2 linked regions of the Callithrix jacchus genome follow. Each later gene encodes a partner of the first gene's protein in a complex. Links are inferred from orthologs where the notes say so. Each region holds a gene or a part of one and is shown on either strand. Other genes may lie near its edges.

Region 1 (10,037 bases):
AGGTGTTTTCGTTTAAAAGTTCTCTGGGCTCGTCCTTCCAACTGTGTCGTGCTGTAAACCAGGTGTTATGTGAGTAGGCACCTGCCCTCACTCCCCTGCCTGAGTTTTCTGTAGGTAGATGTTGAAGAACCTATCTGAGAAAACAAGTGCCACGTGGACACCTAGTAAGCATTTTTGATAATGAATTAGAGCACCAGTTTCTAGTGAACAGAGCAGAAACCTTCAGCCGCAGCCGGGCTACGTCCCTTTGGTCCTGGAGCTCCACCTTCCACAGCATTTTCTCAGTCCTGTGTACCCCTGGGGAGGCAGAAGAGATTGCCTCAGAGTGGCCTTATTTTTCTCGTGACTTGTGAAATGATGCAGTGCTCTATGTAACATGGCCAAGTTTCTAAGCTGTCATCCTATGGAAGTAGAATCTTCTCTTTCAATCATATGGCACAGATGCCAATATGACTGCTGCTATTTAGTCAGAGTGGTGGAAGTCACTGGGTCCCCTTTCCAGTGATGGAGCCTGTGATGTCTTAACACTGTACTGCACTTTGCCAGTGTGTGAGTGATAGCGAATATGCAGTGTTGTCTTTGATTTGGGAATTCAGTTCCTGGCATAATGAGGCCACTGCTCTAACAGAGTTTATACAGTTACTCAGTTGTATAAATAGCACATTCAGAGTAGTTTTTGAAAGGTCAAGAAAAACAAGTGAAAAGATACATGAAATGGCTCCAAATGATAATTATTCAAACCTTTATAAAATGTTTTCATACTCTCATGCTGTCAGATGTACTTCTTACACTCTTCTCATCTTGGTTTATAAGCACACCAAGGTCTGACAGATGAGCTTGCTTTCTACTCAAGAGCAAAAGAATTTGCACTTTAGCTATATGTGAAGGTTATTATTTTAACAAATTCCTGATTCTAATAAAGTTATTTTATTACATGAATCCCTGAGATTCTGCTGTCTTATTTGGGAGGTGTTTCCATCTGTCCTAAGGGCAATGGGGGTATTCTGACCTTTAGCCTTAGGAACAACAGATCCAAGATGGTGATTTCCATGAGCAAGTGAGCCAGAAGTTGGATAACCCACCCACCTAGGTGGATAAGGATGAATCACTGATTTTCTTGTTTTGTTTTTTTACTAAGACAAGTAACTGAAGTAGTTCCTCAGGTTTCTGTTTACCATCAGTTCTGGATTTTCTAGGGAAAACAAACAAACCCACTCATATGGTCCTGGAAATCCATTTGTACAACAGTCAACCCCGAACCTAAATGGGGTTCTGCTCAAGCCTGAAAAGGTTTGTCCCTGTAACAAGCCGGGGTTGACATCTGCAAGTATGACATTAAGGTCAGAATACTGGCTGCAGGCAAGAAAGCCAGTTAATGTGAAACAGCAAGAAGTAAGGCCACACTCACCCACAGTGATAGTCATGGCTCTTCATGTGTCAGGCCCCCAGCCATGAGGGCTCCCTCTGAGCTACCCAAATCATCGCACCAGCTGAATGGCCTTCCAAGCAGCATCACGGAGAACACTGTGGGAAGAACGCATGGGACAGCAAAGGCTCTTGCTGCTGCCAGTAGCCACTGCTTGAATTTAATTCAGAAGTAAAGCCTAGTAAAAAGTTTTGTGTAAGAAAGAGATGGAGGGAGAACCTACATTTTAAAAGACTTATGAGGCTTACCAACCAATGATAATTTATAGGGAGGAGAGCTGACATAGGAAGGTGGAAATTTGAGTGGACAGTTGATGACATTAAGGGATTACTGCTAATATTTCTAGGAGTGAAGGCCTTTCAATCCTGAGACACCTGCCACAACATTATTGGACAGTCACGGTGACATCTGGAACATGCCTAAAAAGAACAGAAGGTGAAGGGGAGACAGACATGAAGGAAGAGGGGCTGGGAGCTGAGGAATGCTGGAAGCCGAATGGTAGGCACAGAGGAGTTTATTTTACTGTTCTGTCTACTTTTTAATAGGTTATATTAAAAACTGTTAAGTTAAAAAAAATATAGAAAAGCCCGACTGATGCACAAAAACTTAACACAACAGATAAATGAGGAGTTGATTCCCATAACATATACAAGGATTCCCTGACATCCTTCTCCAGACTGTGTAAATAAAGGAAGCTTCCCCTACTGAACTGGCAATGCTGTTTTCAAAGCAATAAATATTATTTGATATAAGATGTGAAGTAAAAAAGCTCATAAGCTCCAGTGTCAAACTGCTATAACCTAAATTGTATAAAACTGAAGACACATCACAGCTGAAATAATTTAAATCAAAGTGACAATGAGATTTGACTTAACAGAAGTTCTATTTACACATCCATTAGGTAAAGCAAGGTACACCCACTTCAAAACACATCCATATGTGAATGTACATCTGAGTACCGTTCAGCAATAAGTTTTTAAGAGAACTTCAGTTTAATAAAGCTAAATGGGGAGAAGGAAAGTTTGCATTTAACATGGTATTAAACAAAACCAAAAGGCTGAAACTCATGTTTAGACAACACAAGTCACTAATCACTAGGCAAAGAAAACAGTCCACAGCAGGTGGCACAAATAATTCCTATACAAATGTTGCAAATATTCTGCTTTAAGGAAACATAAAACAATGGTTGACGTGTCATTTACAAATACAGAATATAAAAATGCACAGCCCCCTTGAACAAAAATCCAGCAAATGTTTTTAGATGACTTCCCTCAGACCCACCCCCACATTAGGCCATTCTGGTGAATTACTAGCATCTGCCATTTCATCTTTTAAAAGAATGATGGGCACATGTGCTGTCCAGGGTGGAAGACAAGTGTCATATAAAAAGGGGCCGGAGCTGGCCAGAAACATTTGGACAAGTGCGTCTCAAAAACTCTGTGTTCTAGTTTTGCTTCTGTGCCTCAATCTTGAAGATACAAAAGCCGCTTAGGACACCACATCCTGGGCCCAGCCTGCAGAGTGGTCACTTTTCTGCCACCGCCCTCAATATGAGGGAGCACTGAAAGGCTCCTGACTTAGGGCCTCTTCCCCTTTCTGTGAAGCAGAGGAGCCATCTGTGGTTGCGAGTGGGCAGCACACCAGGGCTGTCCATCCCCAGTGCACTGGTGGGTAGTGTGGGTGGTCCTCCGGGCCAGAGTGAAGTAAGGCATTTCCTGTCTCCCAGAGTCCTGTTCACTTTCTCAGGAACAGCTTGGCAAAATCGGCATTGGACATCTTGGGTGCCTCGGTGGCTGGTGGGGTGGCAACTGCAGGAGCTGGGGCAGGGCCGTTCTCGGCCTGAGGAGCTGCAGCACTTGGGCGCTGCAGGGCACGAGGCAGCAGAGCCAGCTGCGTCCTTCCCTTCCCCCTCCTAGAAGAGCAAACACCGAATGGACCTTTTGAAGCAACAATTCATGTCCCCTGGTTTATTTGTAAAAATAAGCCAAGACAGTTTTAATATAACCAGAAGTTAAAAAGTGAAAAAGAAGGATGAGATAATCCTTGCCTCCTTAATTCTGGCTATTAAGTAAAAACTGCTTCAACAAACGACCTTGTTCAGTTTTGGCAAAGATTAACCCTGAGCACCAGTCACACTCAAAGGGAATCAGAGTGACTATCGCCTCTCAGACCTCACCAGTCACCCAGCAATTCCGCTATCTCCTCCTCATCCCTATCGGGGGGAAAAGCACAGCTTATATGGATCATAGCTAGGGCTGTAGACTGGCACACACATGGGTATGAGATTTTGTTTTAAACACACAGATCCAACTGGCAAAGGGGACTTTAAAATAGTCACTGCCTTTAGTTCTGTAATAAATGACGAAGTGTAAATTGGCCAATACCAGGCAGGGGTCACTGCCTAGGCTTGCACCCTCCCTGGACCTGCTCTGGACACCTTGCTCCAGTGGAACCACAGTGATTACCACAAGAACAGCAGACCTTGGCTTTTCTGTCCTAACAGGAAGCTAATTCGTCCTGGTTAATCCCACCATGGTCCATGAACTGGTGTCAGCCACAGTGAAGTCTGCACTAATCTACTGTGCAAGCACTTACGCTCCGTATGTCTGCGGTGAAGGCATGGGGCCACCTGATGCCTTCCTGGCCTCTGGCTTCTCTGGAACCTTCCTCTGAGGAGGGTTGCTGATTGCCACTTTGATGACATTCTCTTTGATAGTCATGCCGTCCATCTTCATCACAGCCTGCGACGCCTGGGATTCATTTTCATACTCTACATAGGCCAGGCCCTGGAAGAGGCAAGATCCAGAACCAAGTCAGATCCTGCAGACCCAGGATACAACCTCCTCCCACAGGGCAGGCACTGGGCCTCCTCCTGGAGACCAGCAGACCAGGACACAGCAGACGCCCCACCAACAGATTATCTTCCCCACCACCACATCCTCTGTCTACAGGCTTGTTTCCCCACCCTCCTCTCCTTCCCTATTGCTGTTACGCACTGTAACTTCAGATAACCCTTCCAAGTTCAGGACACGTGGTATGTGCTGCGGAAGTAGAAAGAAAGAAGGAAACAGACAGATGGACCAGTATAAATCCAGCAAATAAACCAAGAGGTGGACGGAACACAGGGTGAGCAGTCCAGGTGCCCAGGTGAGCCCTCGTGTTTCTGTGCCCTTACACCGCACCCCGCCCCCCCGTTTCATCTTCTTTTTCTCTCCATTAACCTGGATAAAGGGGAGGAGGTAAAGTGGGCAGTGGGTAGACAGTAACACAAAACCACTTACTACTCAAAATGGGGCACAAAAGGACTTAGCAGGAGACTGCGGGGCAAGAAGGAAGGACATGAGAAGACGTACTGCAATGGAGGGACTCAAGGGGCCTGGCTGGAGGCCCCAGGGAAAGAGAGGCCTGGGAAAGAGGGAGGAGGCTACACAAGGTGCCCACCCCAAAGCCTGTGTGCTGCTGGTCACAGGGCTTCCCTCAAGCCCCACAGCAAGGGGCCAGAGTATGGTGAATTCATGATCATCTATTTCCAAGTGCCTTATTCTTTTTAGTACAATTAACTACAAACAGGTTAATCTGACTCCAAATATAAGTAGAGCTAAGTGTGCAGATCTTTGTTAAAATAACTTTTCTCAGCAGATGAACTAGGAACCCACCCTAAAGGTAAATAATCTTTGAACAGATACAAAAACGAAGTTTGCATGAGTCTTGAAGAGGCACAGTCTGCTCTAACGCTGACCTTTGGTTTGCCAGCCCTATTGGTGACCAGCCTGAGGTCCTTCACGGTGCCATGAACCTTACAGATTTCCTCTAGTTCCTCTTTAGTGCAGGAGAAAGGCAGGCCCGAGATGAACAGCTTGTGTTTCTCCAGGGAAGTGCTGTACCTGAACACCTGTAGGAAGGAAGGGAGAAAAAAAACCATGATTCAAGGCCTGACCCTGCTCACCTGACTCCTCTGACACCAGCCTTGTCCCCAGGAGCATGCCCAGCCAGGCAGACCAGAGCCAAGCCATGCTGAAGCTTGTTAACAGAGCCACCGGGCTGAGTCATTTAACCTCTCTAGCCTCCATGTCTTCCTCTGTAAAATGGCAAGAATAAAAGTGGCCAGTCACAGAGTCTGATAAGGGTTCAATGAGGTGACATACATACAACACATTTAGCACAGTCTCTTGTCACTACCAAGCACCCAGCAGCAAGTACCTATGCCATGAGTCAGACCTCAGTCAACCAGGTCAGCATGGACCTCGGCAGACAAGGAAGTTTAGATCCAAACAGCATAAAACTTCTGTTTATATCCTAAATATCACTGCTGCAGGAAGGAAGTCCCTACAGCAATCACAGATACAAGGCATTCTGTTTTTCCATAAACCTACCTTAAAATCGGGGTTTTTGCTCTTATCCACACAGGGGGAAACAAACATTGGCCTCCCCTCTACACTTTTACGGTCCATCTCCAGTGCCTGAAGGGCTGATTTCTCTTCTTTAAACTCCACATAGCAGTAGCCTCGGAAATCCCCACGGTTGCTGAAGATGGGTCGGATCTGGACCACCTCCCCACAGGCCTCGAAGAGCGGCTTGAGCTTCGCATCCGGCTCCTGCATGCTATAGGGCAGGTTGCTGACAAAGACGGTGATGCTGTCCTTGCTGCTATCGTGCAGCACCTTGGGCATGTCCCTCTTCAGGGAGGCTGCCTTCTCCTTCTGCTTCGAAGGGGGCTCCACATCTACAACAGCACATTTCCCAGCGGGCCCTGCTGCTGATTCCATGTTTTGTGTTTCTCCAGCTGCAGGGATGCTGTTCTCCACCCTTCTGCGTTTGGAAGGCTGCTCTACAGGTTTTCAAAAGAAAAAATAGCCTTGGTTAACCGTTACCTCTCTTTGGGGAGCTTGAACAGAGGTGTGATGTGAATGAGCTGTGACAGCTGCATGTGACACTCCCTCGCCAGACACAGAAGAGCAAGCATCACCCGGAGAAGTCTTTTGTGACCCGCCTGACCTGTCCCACGACTTTCTGTGTGCCCCAGTTATACTCGGGTAAGTGGGCTCAGTCAAGTGGAAGTAATAATATAAATCCCCATTGTCCACTCTTAATTATACAAAAGGCCAGAGGGTCTCAAAGTTCAGAAAGCAAATCCCAGGGCCCCTCTCCTACAAAAGCCCAGGTCAACAGGGGTGGGACAGGACATGAGAATCTGCACTGGAAAAGCACCCTAGTAACTGATGCCCATGCCCCACAGAGCACATTTTGGAAAGCACTACAAAGGGTCTGTGATTTCTAAAACACTTTCAATATTACCTTGTGTCCTTAAGAGAGCTTAACCACAATCTTTTACTCCAGTCTGTCCTCACCACTGCCTCCAGAGGGCCAGGACTAAAGTTCAACAGATGTCTGCCTCCAGCAAACAGACCTCCCCATCAGTTCACCCAACACTTTTGCAGTGAGTGGAAAGCCCTGCACGCTGCTACTGTATTCAAGAGCGCACCTGGGCTGGGTCCAGCTGACTGGCCCGCCTACCACTCCAGCCTCCTCAAACACTGCCCCATCTCTTCTCCATGTATCCAAGTTCAAACCCAATTATTTGCTCTTACAGAAATTGCCAGGCTGTGATAGGCCTTCAGGCTGTGCTAACACTGGCTCCCTGTCTAGCTCGGCCCTTCCCTTCTTGATGCCAGACAGTCACTCAGTCTCCCCGCTGGATTTCAAACCTCTTCCCCTTCAGTCTTCCTGGTACAGAGCTAGCCTTCTTTGGCCTCCACCACTACTAACAATTCCATTTCCCACAGTCCTGATGACATGCCACCGTGGTCACATATCACATTTGCCTTACTCTACTAAACTGGGAGGCCTGAGGGGCAATGAGCCCCCCTTAGTTATTAAGGAAAGCCCAAACAAGGTGTGCAAGCAAGGTCAACTCAAAGATGGATGACTCCATTCCCAGTTCTTTCTGGCTCATACATCTGTACCAAGAAAGTGTACAGAGTCCCTTACACATCCAGAGACAATTCTTTTTTTTTCTTTTTATGAGATGGAGTCTTGCTCTGTCTCCCAGGCTGGAGTTCAGTGGTGCGATCTCAGCTCATTGCAAACTCCACCTCCTATGCTCAAGTGATTCTCTTGTTTCAGCCTCCCAAGTAGCTGGGAAAACAGGCACCTGCCATCATGCCTGGCTAATTTTTGTATTTTTAGTAGAGACAGGTTTTCACCATGTTGGCCAGGTTGGTCTTAGATCCCTGACCTCAGGTGATCCACCCACCTCGGCCTCCCAAAGTGCTGGGATTAGATATGAGCTACGGCACCCCGCCATCAGAGACAATTCTTTACCTTAACTGACTCTGAAATAAATATGACCCAGAGCTGTTCATCCCTAAAATTACAAGGGTGAAAGAAACACTGCTGGAAAATTCCACTAAGTCACAACCATTAAAAGCAGGGCCAAGGCTGGGCATAATGGCTCATTTGTAATCCCAGCACTCTGAGAGGCCAAGGCAGGAGGATCACTTGAGGTCAGGAGTGCCAGACCAGCCTGGTTAACATGGTGAAACCCCATCTCTACTAAAATACAAAAATTAGCTAGGCATGGTGGCCGGCACCTGTAATCCCAGCTACACAGGAGGCTAAGGCAGGAGAATCACTTGAACCCAGAGGTAGAGGTTGCAATGAGCTGAGATCACACCACCACACTTGAGGATGGAGAACTGAGAAAGACTCACTCTCAAAAAAAAAATTTTTTTAATAAATAAATAAAGCAGGGCCAAGCCTGGTAGGTCTGTGCAGGGTGAGGGCTGCTGCAGTGGTGTGCAATGCTACAGCCTGAATGGAAGGAAGAAGATGAGCAACATGGGGCAGTGACAGAGACCCCGCCTGAGATATGGAAGCCAGAATGAAGATGCAAGGGGGTCCATGCAGGGCCGTACCTGGCCCCAGGTGTAGGAGACCAGACAGGGTGGGGATGGCACCCACAAGAAGGGGAGGCAGGAACAGGAAACTGATTTCATAAGTACAGGGGCTGGATGGAATAAGTGAGGATGCTGAGGATAAAGGGAACCAGGTTTCTCAAGGTCAGAGAAGGGTATGACACAGCTGGGCACAGTGGCTCATGCCTATAATCCCAGCACTTTGGGAGACCAAGGCAGGCAGGTCACTTGAGGCCACAAGTCTAAGACCAGCCTGGCCAACATGGCAAAACTTCATCTCTACTAAAAATACAAAAAAATTAGCCAGATGTAATGGTGCGTGCCTGTAATCCCAGCTATTTGGGAGGCTGAAGCACAAGAATCACCCAAACCTGGGAGACGGAGGTTGAAGTGAGCCGAGATCATGCCAGTGCACTCCAGCCTGGGCAACAGAGTGAGACTGTCTCGAAAATAAATGAGTACATAAATTTTAACAAGAGAGAGAAGGTTGCTGCAAGTGTGAAAAGGAACCCTGTGGTGTTAGACTGGAACTGGAGGTACTGGTGTGACATCATGACTTGCAGTATATATAAATAGTTACAGAAGTAAATATCGACATAAATATGTCTGTGTACACATGCACGCACACACACACTCCCTACCCTTGACAACACAGTCCTAGGAGCAATACCCAATAGCAGTGAGCATAACTAGCACCTTCTAAATACCACTCATCACTCAAAGGAACCTTGGAGAAATGACAGACTCCAGGGCTGAGTTAGGGAAGATGACCCTTGGGAACTGTGTGCTAGAAGGTAAGGAAATGATCAAAGAACAAGAGGACGGGTCAAAGGGGCCTGTGTGAAAAAACTCTTGCTAGCCAAACCTGGGATAAGTAGAGCATCAACATAATTACCAAAAGGGCCATCGCCAGCAATGAAACAAAGCGAAATCAGAGGCCACCTGACGGGATTCAATGAGCAGGCCACAGGAGCACCTGTGCACTATTCCTGCCCGAGATGCATGAGCAGAATCCAATCCCCAGGAAGCCTCAGACACACCCAGGCTGAGGGACTCAACAGAGTGTGTCATCGGAGTAAATACAAGAATGCAGGTCATCACAGTAAAAACAAAGCTGAGGAGTGCTCCAGACTGAAGGAGATCCAGCAGACAGGACACCTCAACACAACAGTGCATCCTGATCCAGATCCTTTCACTACAAAGGACATGCCTATGCCTGGGGTCTGAATATTAGACAAGAGTAGTGATCACTGCTAACCTTGGCTCCAATGGCTGCATGCCAGTCATGGAGAAGAGGGCCCTTGTCTGCAAGACGTACACCCTAACAGTGATCAAAGGGTGATGGGTACCAAGCTGGTAATGCATTCTCAAATGGTTCAGGGAAGAACGTTCAACTGTTTTTGCAACTTCTCTAACTTTGAGACCTTTCAAAACACAATTTCTCAAGAGCTCCTTACCTTCTTCATCATCGCCCCACTCCTTCTCATCATCCTCATCTGCTCCGCGCTTATCTGGGCCTCTGGTCTTCTTCTTCTTTTTCAGTGCTTTCTTCTCAGCCCGGGCTCTTTTCCGTTGTTCAGCCTTTTCTTCTTCTTGCTGCACAAGGGCTGCTTCCTTCTCTGCAGCCTAGAAAAGTGGGAAGATGAGGCATTGCTGCATGCGGGGATGACATTCACTGTACTTAATTTGTCAGGAAA
Region 2 (10,618 bases), about 54 Mb from region 1:
TTTTCACCTTGCAATTTATGCTTTTATTAGTGGGCAAATTTAGAAGACAAATTTCTATTTAGGGGACAATTTGACATTTATTTAACTAAGAATTGTCACTTTTAGCTACTCAAGCTACTAGAATGTAGATTACAGTGTTCCATGGGCCCCTTTTACTAATTTATATTCACTCCTTAAAACAGTGAATCCCATAGTTTTCAGGAAATGTAAGACAAGCTTACCACAATTTGGTCTTCAGATGCAGTGGAGACACTACTGTCATCAAAGTAGTACCATTTTCCATCATCTTTATTTTTTGCAAAAGCAGTATCTAATGAAAAAAATATAATCACTGTGAAAAAATGATCTTGGTTTTCTGGGGACTTCTCAAAAGTCTATAATCATCTATATAAGGAATATCTATTAAAACTGCCTGACAATCATCTATGAGGCTTATTTATTACACAATCAATCGACTCAAATGATTAAAAGTATCTTAGAATAATTTTCACAATTAGATGCCTAAAATAATTTTCATATAAGTTTAAACATACTTTTTTCATCTCAGGAAAAAATAGATTACTTTTAAATTCACAGAATAGCACTAATGACAATAAATGGTAATTAACATTTATGTAGTGCTTACTTTGTACCAGGCATAGTGTTATACATTTTACATGTATCATCTCATAAAGAAGGTATTATCACTATTATTCTCCCCACCTTAGCGATAGGAAATTAAGGCATCAAAAAAGAAGGATAATTTACTAAAGGTACTATAGCTATTAGCTAGCAGTTAGGATTTAAACCTAGACCTGTTTCTGACTTCAAAGTTTGAAATTTCAACTATTATTAAATTTTCTATGACAATTTGTTTTCTGATAGCTCTACTCATTAAGCTATAGTTTTTTTTTTTTTTCCAAACACCAGAATCTCTTTCAGTTTTTAACAAAAGTACAATTGGTCCTCTGTATATAGGGGTTCTGCATCCCTGAACCCAGCCAACCACAGATCAAAAATATTTGGGGGAAAAAATTTCCACAAAGTTTTGAAGACTAAAACTTGAATTTGCCATGTACTGAGTACTATGCTGAATTCATGTGAATGAAGTGACATGCAGGCATCGTATTAGGTATTCTAAATAATCTACACATACAAGTATATGAGAGGATGTGGATAGGTTATATGCAAATAGTACAGTATTTTATCTAAGGAACTTGAGCATCTGTGGTATCCACTGATACAAAGGGATGACTGCACAGAGCAAGAAAAAGGCAAAAAGTGATTAATTAATCCACATAATTTTTAAAGATCTGCTTTATCTTTAAGTCAAAAAAAGCCCCATTTCCCATCCAATGTCTTACATAAACTACCCAGTAACTGAAGAAATGAAGTTGCAAAATGTTCCTAAAATAATTAACTGTGGTCACTGCTTCTAAAAAGCGACACTTTGTAGGGTATGGTTCTTCCATAACCTAAATAATTCTTCCCATCCTAAAGTAAAAATTATTATCCTTCCCATTCATATATAAATAAGAAATTGAGGTATTATCCTTAATACGGCTAAAACCAAAGGGCAATATTCTCTATTAAGTTACCTGTTTGGATGATGATCAGAGGAAATGACATTACTTTGAAAGTAAGGTAATCATCATCTTTAGTGAAGCTTCATTGGAAGCCAGAAGAAAAGACCAACCAACCAACCAACCAACCAACCAGTCAACCAGCCAACCCACCACAATAAAATAACGGCTTAAACTGTAAGTTGTTTAGTTAACGATTTTACTGAGCACCTACCCTGTGGAAGAAATGTTTCATATTCTACCTGCTGTTGGTTCCCTCTCCTCAAAAATCAACCACGGAGAAAAACCACAGAAGCAGAGGGAAGTTAAGGTCAAAGAAGCTAACAAAAAAAAACAAACTGAGAACCCTGTTCTCAATATGTCACTGATATGATTAACGGCATATCAGAATGAACTAACTCAAGGATATTTCTATGTGCATGCAAAATGACTGAAGAATGCGACAGAATGGCTGGAGGCAGAAATGAGAAGACAATTCAGAAGAAAGCTTTTAAATTCATGCTTCAATCTTCGTCACAGAAATTAGCAATATTCAGGCTACCTAAATCAGAGTCTTATTGCTGCTGGGTTAGCCCTCTTGGGCTAACAAAATATTTGACACTTAATATGATTGTACCCCATGCACTCTGGTTGAAAATCAGCCTTGGTGAGGAGTGGAAGAAAACAGCAATGGGCTGAGCAGCTTCCTTTGAGCATGCTCTACCCTATTTTCTCCCCTTCCAGCTACATATAGGACCTCTGCTAAGCTGTTGCTGTGTATGCTGTATTGTTTCTTGACCTGTATCCTGTCTTAAATCTAAGTCAACCTGGTGCTGGGTGAAGCCTTTTGTGTGTTGTGAGTTTGTCAATCTCAATCCAAGACCACTGCAGAGCAGATGCTACTCTGTGATTTATAAGAGACACATTCAACAAAAAGGCACAGAGAGTTTGTAAGTTAAATGATGATATCCAAAAGAAAGCTAGAGTAACACTTGCAATAGCTGAGAAAAAGAAAAAAGGGGCCAAGAATGTCAAATCCTGGTGTAAAAGGAACAACACAGAAGAGCTACCCATTATGAACATAAATGTAATTATGCAAAATATTAATAAGGACTAATAAAACTGTTGGGAGAAGCAGATCAATCAACACTTCAGTAGGAGTCCTGACAAAATTCCTCTCAGGAATAAAATGAACATAAAAAATAACCAGGGAGAGTAATGGTTTGAATACAGTTGATAAGCTTAAGCTATCAGAGATACAAAGAACTCCATATCTAAATGGGAAATGTATATTTTTTTCTAAGCATATAAACATTTAAGGAACGAACCATGTACGTATTAAGACACTGGGAACTTTCAGACTCCTAAAGATTAATAAAGACAATGTTCTCAACTGCTATGTAATAAAACTGAAAGAACAAAGTGACAAACTCTGTATATTTGGAAACTAAGCATATGATTAAATAACATTGGGCTAATTAGGAAATCATAAAGGAAACTGAAACATACACACAATTGAAAGACAATAAAAATATTAAGTACAGCTAAAGCAGTACTTAGCAGAATATTTATAGCCTTTAATTACAGCCTTCAGTATAGGAGAAACAATGAAGAGCAAAAAGGTTAAGCATTCAACTCAAGAAATTATAAGAAGAGTAACACAGAAACCCAGAGTAACAAGAGGTTACATTCCCATACAATGAAGGGAAGAGAAGAAATCAATTAGATAGAATAAATACATACAGGCCAGGTGTGGTGGCGTGCACCTGCAGTCCCAGCTACTCAGGAGGCTAAGGTAGGAGGAACGCTTGAGCCCAGGAGATCAAAACCAGCCTGGGCAACATAGTGAAACCCTGTCTCTACTAAAAATACACAAAAAATTAGATGGCCTGTAGTCCCAGCTACTCAGGAGGCAAAGCTGGTAGGATCATTTGAACCCAGGAGGTGGAGGCTGCAGTGAGCCAAGATCATGCCACTGTACTCCAGCCTGGGTGACAGAGCGAGACCTGGTCTCAAAAAACATAAATAGATAAAAATGAATACATAGATACAACAACAAAAATAAAAATCTGATAAGATGAAAAGCTAATTCTTTGAAAAGATTAATAAGAGAGAAATCTGGAAGACTAATTTTTTTTTTTTTTTTTGAGATTGAGTCTGTTGCCAGGCTGAGTGCAGTGGTGTGATTTTGGCTCACTGCAACCTCTGACTCCCTGGTTCAAGTGATTCTCCTGCCTCAGCCTCCCGAGTAGCTGGAATTTACAGGCATGCGCCACCAAGCCAAGCTAATTTTTGTATTTTTAGTAGAGGCAGGGTTTCACCATGTTGGCCAGAATGGTCTCAATCTGCTGACCTTGTGATCCTCCTGCCTTCGCCTCCCAAAGTGCTAGAATTACAGGCATGAGCCACCACACCCAGCCAGAAAGATTGATTTAAAAAAAATAACAGAGAAAAAGAATGAAAAAAGACAAAAACAGGATAATATAAGTATTATAAACAGTTCTTAAATAAATTAGAAAACCTAAATGAAATGGATACACTTTTAGATATAAAGAAAACATCAAAATATACACAAAAGGAAAAAGAAAACTGGAGACCAATATGCATAACATAAATAAAAACAATTATTGTTAAGCCTAGATGGCTTTACAGGTTAATTCTACTAGACTTTGATGAATAGTCAATTCCTGTATTGTACCAGATGTTCCAAAAAAACCAAACGAAGGATAAAGCATCCTAGCTTGTTTAATGACTCTAATCTTTATTCCAAACTAAGATAAATGAAAATATAAAAAACTTAGAAGACCATTTCACTTATGAATGAAACTGTAACAACCCTAAATAAGTTGGACTAAATCCAGCTATGTATCAAAGATATACAAAGATAAGTAGGATATATCCAAGGAATGCAAATATTGTTCAACAGAAAAATAAATCGCTTGCAGAATGTAGAGTGGAACAATCTGACAACACTTACTTAAACTCAGCAATCTCACTTTTGGGTATGCAGCCCAAAGAAATTCTTACACAGGATACCATAAACAATTGCTTATCAGTCTTACAGTGGTAGAAAGTGAAAGGCAATTTAGAGGTTCATCAAAAGGTACGTGGAGAGATAAAATATGGTAGATGTAAATCATGAGCAGTGAGAAACAACTGACTAAACAGACACAAAATAACATAGATAAATCTTAGTAAGAGTCAAGACCTAGTGAGATCGATACCACAGTACTAATTATATAAATGAATAAATATTAATGATTTACAAGAGTATATGCATCAAACTTGTTAGAAAGCAAAGGGGAAGGAGAATGTGGAGGGAAATGCACTCTAAGACAACAACATTCCCTCCTGGGCCCTGAACTGAGGAGTATAATGAACTCAATCCTCTATGAGTGTGGAAAAAAAAAGGTTCAAAAGCTGACTCATTCATTAATCAATATTTAATTACTATATGCAAGACACATCTGAGATTTTATCCTTAAGAATTAATAAATATCGTAAAGAAAAAAGCCTGGAGTTCTTCAAACACCATGATTTGGGTAAAAAGGCAAACTGTCAACTTACAGTGTCCTCCTCCCATCCCTCCATAGTGGTTGGAAACAGCAATCAAATTATAGCGGCAAGGACCTGCATTTGGATTAATTAAGAATTCCGACATATCCAAGTCACTGTTTAAAAAAGAAATCAAGTTAATTTTATGTTGTCCCTAAATGCAATGAATTCTATTCCCTTCTGCCATTGTTGTTTGACATGTGTGTGTGTGTGTGTGTGTATCTCAATAAAGAAATTATGAGTCAAGTAACTTACAAAACAAATCATACATGTACCTCTGAGATATTAATGTTTTGGCAAAGATTTGTTTATGGGTTGAAAATGTTAAAATGTTTCATTGAGTATATCATAGAGATATCTGCACTCTCATGTTCGTTGTAGCAATTTTCACAACAGCTAAGATCTGGAAACAACAACCAAATCTCGTTGATTCGATGGAACTACATGTTGTAATGTTGATGGAAGTAAGTGTCCATCAACAGATGAATGGTTAAAAAAAGTGTGGTACATATACACAATGAAGTACTATTCAGCCATAAAAAAGAATGAGATCCTGCCATTTCCAACAACATGGATGGAACTGGAGATCATTATGTTAAATGAAATAAGCCAGGCACAGAAAGATAAACATCACATGTTCTCATTTGTGGGATCTAAAAATCAAAACAACTGAACTCATGAACAGAAAGAGTAGAAGGATGGTTAATAGAGGCTGGGAAGGGTGGGGATGGTAATGAGTTAAAAAAAAATGAATGAATAAAACAACTATTTGATCACACAACAGGGTGACTATAGTCAATAATAACTTAATTGTACATATAAAAATAACTAAGAGTGTGACTGGATTGTTTGTAACAGAAAGGATAAATGCTTGAGAGGATGGATATCCCATTCTCTATGATGTGATTATTTCACACTGCATCAAAACATCTCATGTACCCCACAAATATATACACCTACTATGTAGCCACAAAAATTAAAAAATAAATAAATACAAACGTTGAATGTTGTTATTCAGATTAATGTTTTTATGCTAACACATTTAATTCTCAGTATATCAGGAGAAACAGTCATCACTATTTACCACCTGGGTCCAATGGATCTTTATTTTAAAGTCAATTTTATAAAAAGTAGTTTATGGGCAGGGTGGGACATTAAAAAAAAGGAAGTGATTTATGTGAAGAAAAATACAAGAACAGTGAAAACAACTTTCTCAGAAGTTTTAAAAAATATTAATATATCAAATTTTTATTCTACATTTGTTGGCTTTGATGACCTATAAACCTGAAATGGGCAACATTCTTTGAATGTAACTGACTAATCATAATCTATCATTTAAGAACCTGGAAAATGACCATCTTGTAAATAGGTTATTATTATTTCTGGTTGTTCTTTTTGTATTTGCATCATTAAAAAGCAATTACGATTCTAATTTTTAAATACATCTCTAACAGATTCTAGTTTGTCATTACTCCTGATTCTTTTTCTTATTCTTACATTGCCAAATGCTATATTATTGAAAACTTTTAATGGCTCACTATTTTGTTAAAAAGAACATGATCTTTTTTTATTCAATAATTATATATAATTTTAAATTTATAACCATCAATTAGTATGAGCAATCCAATAAATATTTTGTTTTATGTAATCTATTTCCTTCTAGTTACCTTTGTAGATACACCTGCCATTAGCATTTGTCCATTTACTAACTGTATCAAGTAAATTTTGGTGCACAAATACCACAGAATATCAAATAATACCACTGAAAGTTCTCTTTGCAAAATGGGAGAGTACAAGTTCTTGTGCAAAATATTGTGTGACAAAGTCCTTCCTGTTGAATAAGTGATTGAGAATACAATGTTCTCTTTTTGTCATTCTGAATTCACAACTGTTTAGTAAAAGCAGGGGGTAAAAGAAAAAAAAGAATATGAAGATGTATAGACTTTTTAAATATCTTTTTACAGACAAGATTGGGGTGCATTGAAGTTGGTATGGCCATAAATATATCTTTTTACAAATATGATGTCATATAATGGCAACAGGAAAACTGAAGGATGATGCAATAGTGATGATTTATTTCACTACTGTGTTATCCTTCTAAGCAATTCCATTATTCAGTTTTATTTTAGTCTTTTTGAAAACAGCATATTAAGGGCTGAGCGAGGTGGCTAATGACTGTAATTCCAGCACTTTGGAAGGCCAAGGCGGGAGGATCACTTGAGGCCAGGAGTTTGAGACCAGCCTGGTAAATATGGTGAAACACTGTCTGTACTAAAAATATAAGTGGTGGCAGGTGTCTGTAATCCCAGCTACTTGGGAGGCTGAGGCAGGAGAATCACTCGAACCTAGTAGATGAAGGTTGCAGTGAGCTGAGACTGTACCACTGCACTCCAGCCTGGGCAACAGTGTAAGACTCCATCTCAAAAGCCAAACAAACAAAAAACCAAACTGGCATATTTAGGAATAAGTGATGAGTAATCATGAAATAATTCCTAGGATAAACAAAATCACTAAGTACCATAAAGTATCTTAGATTTATAAATGAGACCAATTAACCCATAGATAACGTAATACAGAAGGAGTTTTATTATTTTTTTAAAAGTATATTTTTGGCTGGCTGCGCTGGCTCACGCCTGTAATCCTAGCACTTTGGGAGGCCGAGGTGGGTGGATCACCTGAGGTTAGGAATTCAAGACCAGCCTGGCCATCATGGTGAAACCCCATCTTTAAAAAAAAAAGTATATTTTCTCTTTGGTCTTTGGAAAATCTCTAAAAAAAAATTAAAATTTTGAAACACTGATCCTTATAAATTGTTAGAACTACTCCAAAACAAACTTGAAAGCTGCAATTGGGTCCAATGACATCTGATGTTTACTAAAGGATAATAACTATGGCCGGGCGCAGTGGCTCACACCTGTAATCCCAGAACTTTGGGAGGCTGAGGCGGGCAGATCACAAGGTCAAGAGATTGAGACCATTCTGGCCAACATGGTGAAACCTGTCTCTACTAAAGAAATACAAAAATTAGCTGGGCATGGTGGTGCTCGCCTGTAGTCCCAGCTACTCAGGAGGCTGAGGGAGGAGAATCACTTCAATCTGGGAGGTGGAAGTTGCAGTGAGCCGAGATTGTGCCACTGCACTCTGGCCTGGTGAAAAAGCAAGACTTTGTCTCACAAAAAAAGGATACTAACAAAAAGCATCAGTCTGAAAGAAGAGTTGCCCAATGCTTCTAAGTACAATTAAAACTTACTTGATAGGAAAATCAACTAAAGTATCCAGCTTGTCTCTCATATATCGACTGTAAGAAAATCTCTTGAGATGTACCACAAGTACCGGAGGCAGGGACCACAAATCCAATTTCTTTGTGGCTTGCTGATGTTCTTTACAATTCGGACAATACCTAAGAATAAAAAGAAGCATTTAAAGTTTGATAGAGGTACAAACAACCCCCATTAATGAAAATAATAGACCAGAAATGTTTGGAAAGTTCTACATTTATTCAGTGGGCAATTATCATATGCCTAATATGTACCAGGTTGAAAGCAACTCTTTTTCCTATTTTTATTTTCAACACATTTTCCAAATAGATTTAACCATTATAAATTAATATACAAATACACATTGAAAGAAATAATGAGGACTAGATTATTTCTCTTTTAGTATGTGAAAAAGACATAGATTGCAAATTTGTCCTGGAAGATAGGTATTAGAAAATCTCAAAACTTCTGGGCTCTAATGGAACTCCACCACAAAATGTTTCACTATACTTTTCCTAAAAAGCTTCTCTCAAAATGATTATATAGCTAAAATTTCGTGGAAAAAAAGTAAAACGAATTATTAATAGTATAATGACTATTATGGAAAACACAGTAATGAAATTAAGGCAACACTATAATAGTTTTTAATTAAAAAATTTTTTTTTGCAAATAGGACTTTTAATTTTTTTATTTTATTTTATTTTTTAAAATAAAGATGGGCTTTCACCATGATAACCAGGCTGGTTCTGAACTCCCGACCTCAGGTGATCCACCCACCTCAGCCTCCCAAAGTGCTAGGATTACAGGTGTTTTTTTGAGATGGAGTCTCACTCTGTCGACAGGTTGTGCAGTGGCGCAACCTCGGCTCACTGAAACTCCCACCTCCTGGGTTCAAGCGATTCTCCTGCCTCAGCCTTCTAAGTAGCTGAGATTACAGGCAAATGCCACCACACCCAGCTAATTTTTTTGTAACTTTAGTAGAGACGGGGTTTCACCATGTTGGCCAGGATGGTCTCGATCTCTTGACCTTGTGATCGCCCACCTTGGCCTCCCAGAATGCTGCGATTATAGGCGTGTGCCACTGCGCCCAGCCTGTAGTAGTATTTTTTTAAGACATTCCCATCCCTCTTAAAAGGCTACAACTTACTATATAAAGAAAGCTTTAGTATTTATTATCAAAAGAAATTCAGTAATTACTTTTTCAACTTGATGTGGCACACACCTCAGAATAAATCCTTAAAGAAAACAAAAACAATTTTGTCTCTTACCAGGGATCTTCAGCACCTAGCTTTTCTTTTGTTGTAAAAAGTTCAATGCAATCTTTTAATTTCACAAAGGGTTTTTTAGGAGGTTTATACTCCACACTTTCATGTTTTTCAAAGTCCTAAAGAGAAGTATTTCTTGAGTTAAGAGAACAAATGAAACAAAACTCATTTTAGTGATACCATCTTACTATGAATAATAATGAAAACTCCTAAACTTTCTCAAAAGAATCATAAAGCTTATTTCAGTTGAGATTTATACCATACTTCTAAATAATTCCTTTATACTCCTATCTGGATGACCAAAGCATGTTGAAAACAAACTTTGAATCTTTAAAAAAAAAAGGTATTTTTGCAAAGACTTTCTTTTCTAGTTCATGACCAATTTTTTACTGGCAAAATAAATGTATTTGGTGGAAGCAAAGAATATAACAAAACAGTATGATTATCTCTGGTAATTACATAAAGTAAATCAAGGATAGGTAACATGAATGAGCAAGTGATGACTTACCTCAGCAGCATTTTCATCAAAATATCTTTTTTTCAAATCAGGATCCCAATCCAAAGCAAGAAAAGATCTTTCTAAGGTGGAAAACATATTTTTTCTTTAAAATTTAATACATCTTAGTATTAAAATATATTTTAATGTTAGGATGTATATAAGAATAAATAAATAGCAATCTTTTCTAATTGTACCAGGTGATTAGGGCTAATAGCAGTTTCCAAGCCAATGAAATAATTTAAGAGTTTTAAAAAAGACAGAAAACTTAAGCATAAGTTCAATCTCCTTTTATGAAACATAGACACACATTTTACTCTACTAAGATATTAAGGCCTTTCATATAAAATTTGAGATAGAAAAGTAAATGGCAATTTTCTTTACAGACCTGAATTTCATGGTTTTTAACTAAAAAACAAAAAAAAAAAATTACTTGTTCTGCTTGTTTAATGTTCAAGCCATTTTTCACAAATACTTACCATCTAGCCTAAGCTGCCTATCGTC

What was found. Proteins that work in one complex are often made in the same cells at the same time.
Region 2: the proteins of SART3 (region 1) and USP15 are in contact, whole or in part, in a crystal structure (PDB 5JJW), measured with the Homo sapiens proteins. The link is inferred for Callithrix jacchus from reciprocal best matches to the Homo sapiens genes SART3 and USP15. Residues at the interface, in NP_055521.1 of Homo sapiens: Ser438, Ser439, Lys440, Glu443, Gln490, Arg493, Glu494, Trp496, Asp497, Met500, Thr501, Ala505, Trp511, Tyr514, Arg533, Cys537; in NP_001239007.1 of Homo sapiens: Ser23, Leu24, Asp48, Trp50, Gly121, Met122, Phe123, Val124, Lys125, His126, Lys128.

The regions. Positions count from the first base shown.
Region 1 is NC_133510.1:111,405,611-111,415,647, forward strand, and holds the end of SART3 (spliceosome associated factor 3, U4/U6 recycling protein), read right to left. Parts: intron 9,967-10,037; coding exon 9,798-9,966; intron 6,255-9,797; coding exon 5,800-6,254; intron 5,319-5,799; coding exon 5,166-5,318; intron 4,213-5,165; coding exon 4,022-4,212; intron 3,339-4,021; coding exon 3,161-3,338; 3' UTR 1,923-3,160; downstream 1-1,922. UniProt on the Homo sapiens protein: U6 snRNP-binding protein that functions as a recycling factor of the splicing machinery. Promotes the initial reassembly of U4 and U6 snRNPs following their ejection from the spliceosome during its maturation.
Region 2 is NC_133510.1:57,031,862-57,042,479, forward strand, and holds part of USP15 (ubiquitin carboxyl-terminal hydrolase 15), read right to left. Parts: coding exon 10,594-10,618; intron 10,198-10,593; coding exon 10,127-10,197; intron 9,738-10,126; coding exon 9,622-9,737; intron 8,497-9,621; coding exon 8,347-8,496; intron 5,213-8,346; coding exon 5,109-5,212; intron 311-5,108; coding exon 222-310; intron 1-221. UniProt on the Homo sapiens protein: Hydrolase that removes conjugated ubiquitin from target proteins and regulates various pathways such as the TGF-beta receptor signaling, NF-kappa-B and RNF41/NRDP1-PRKN pathways.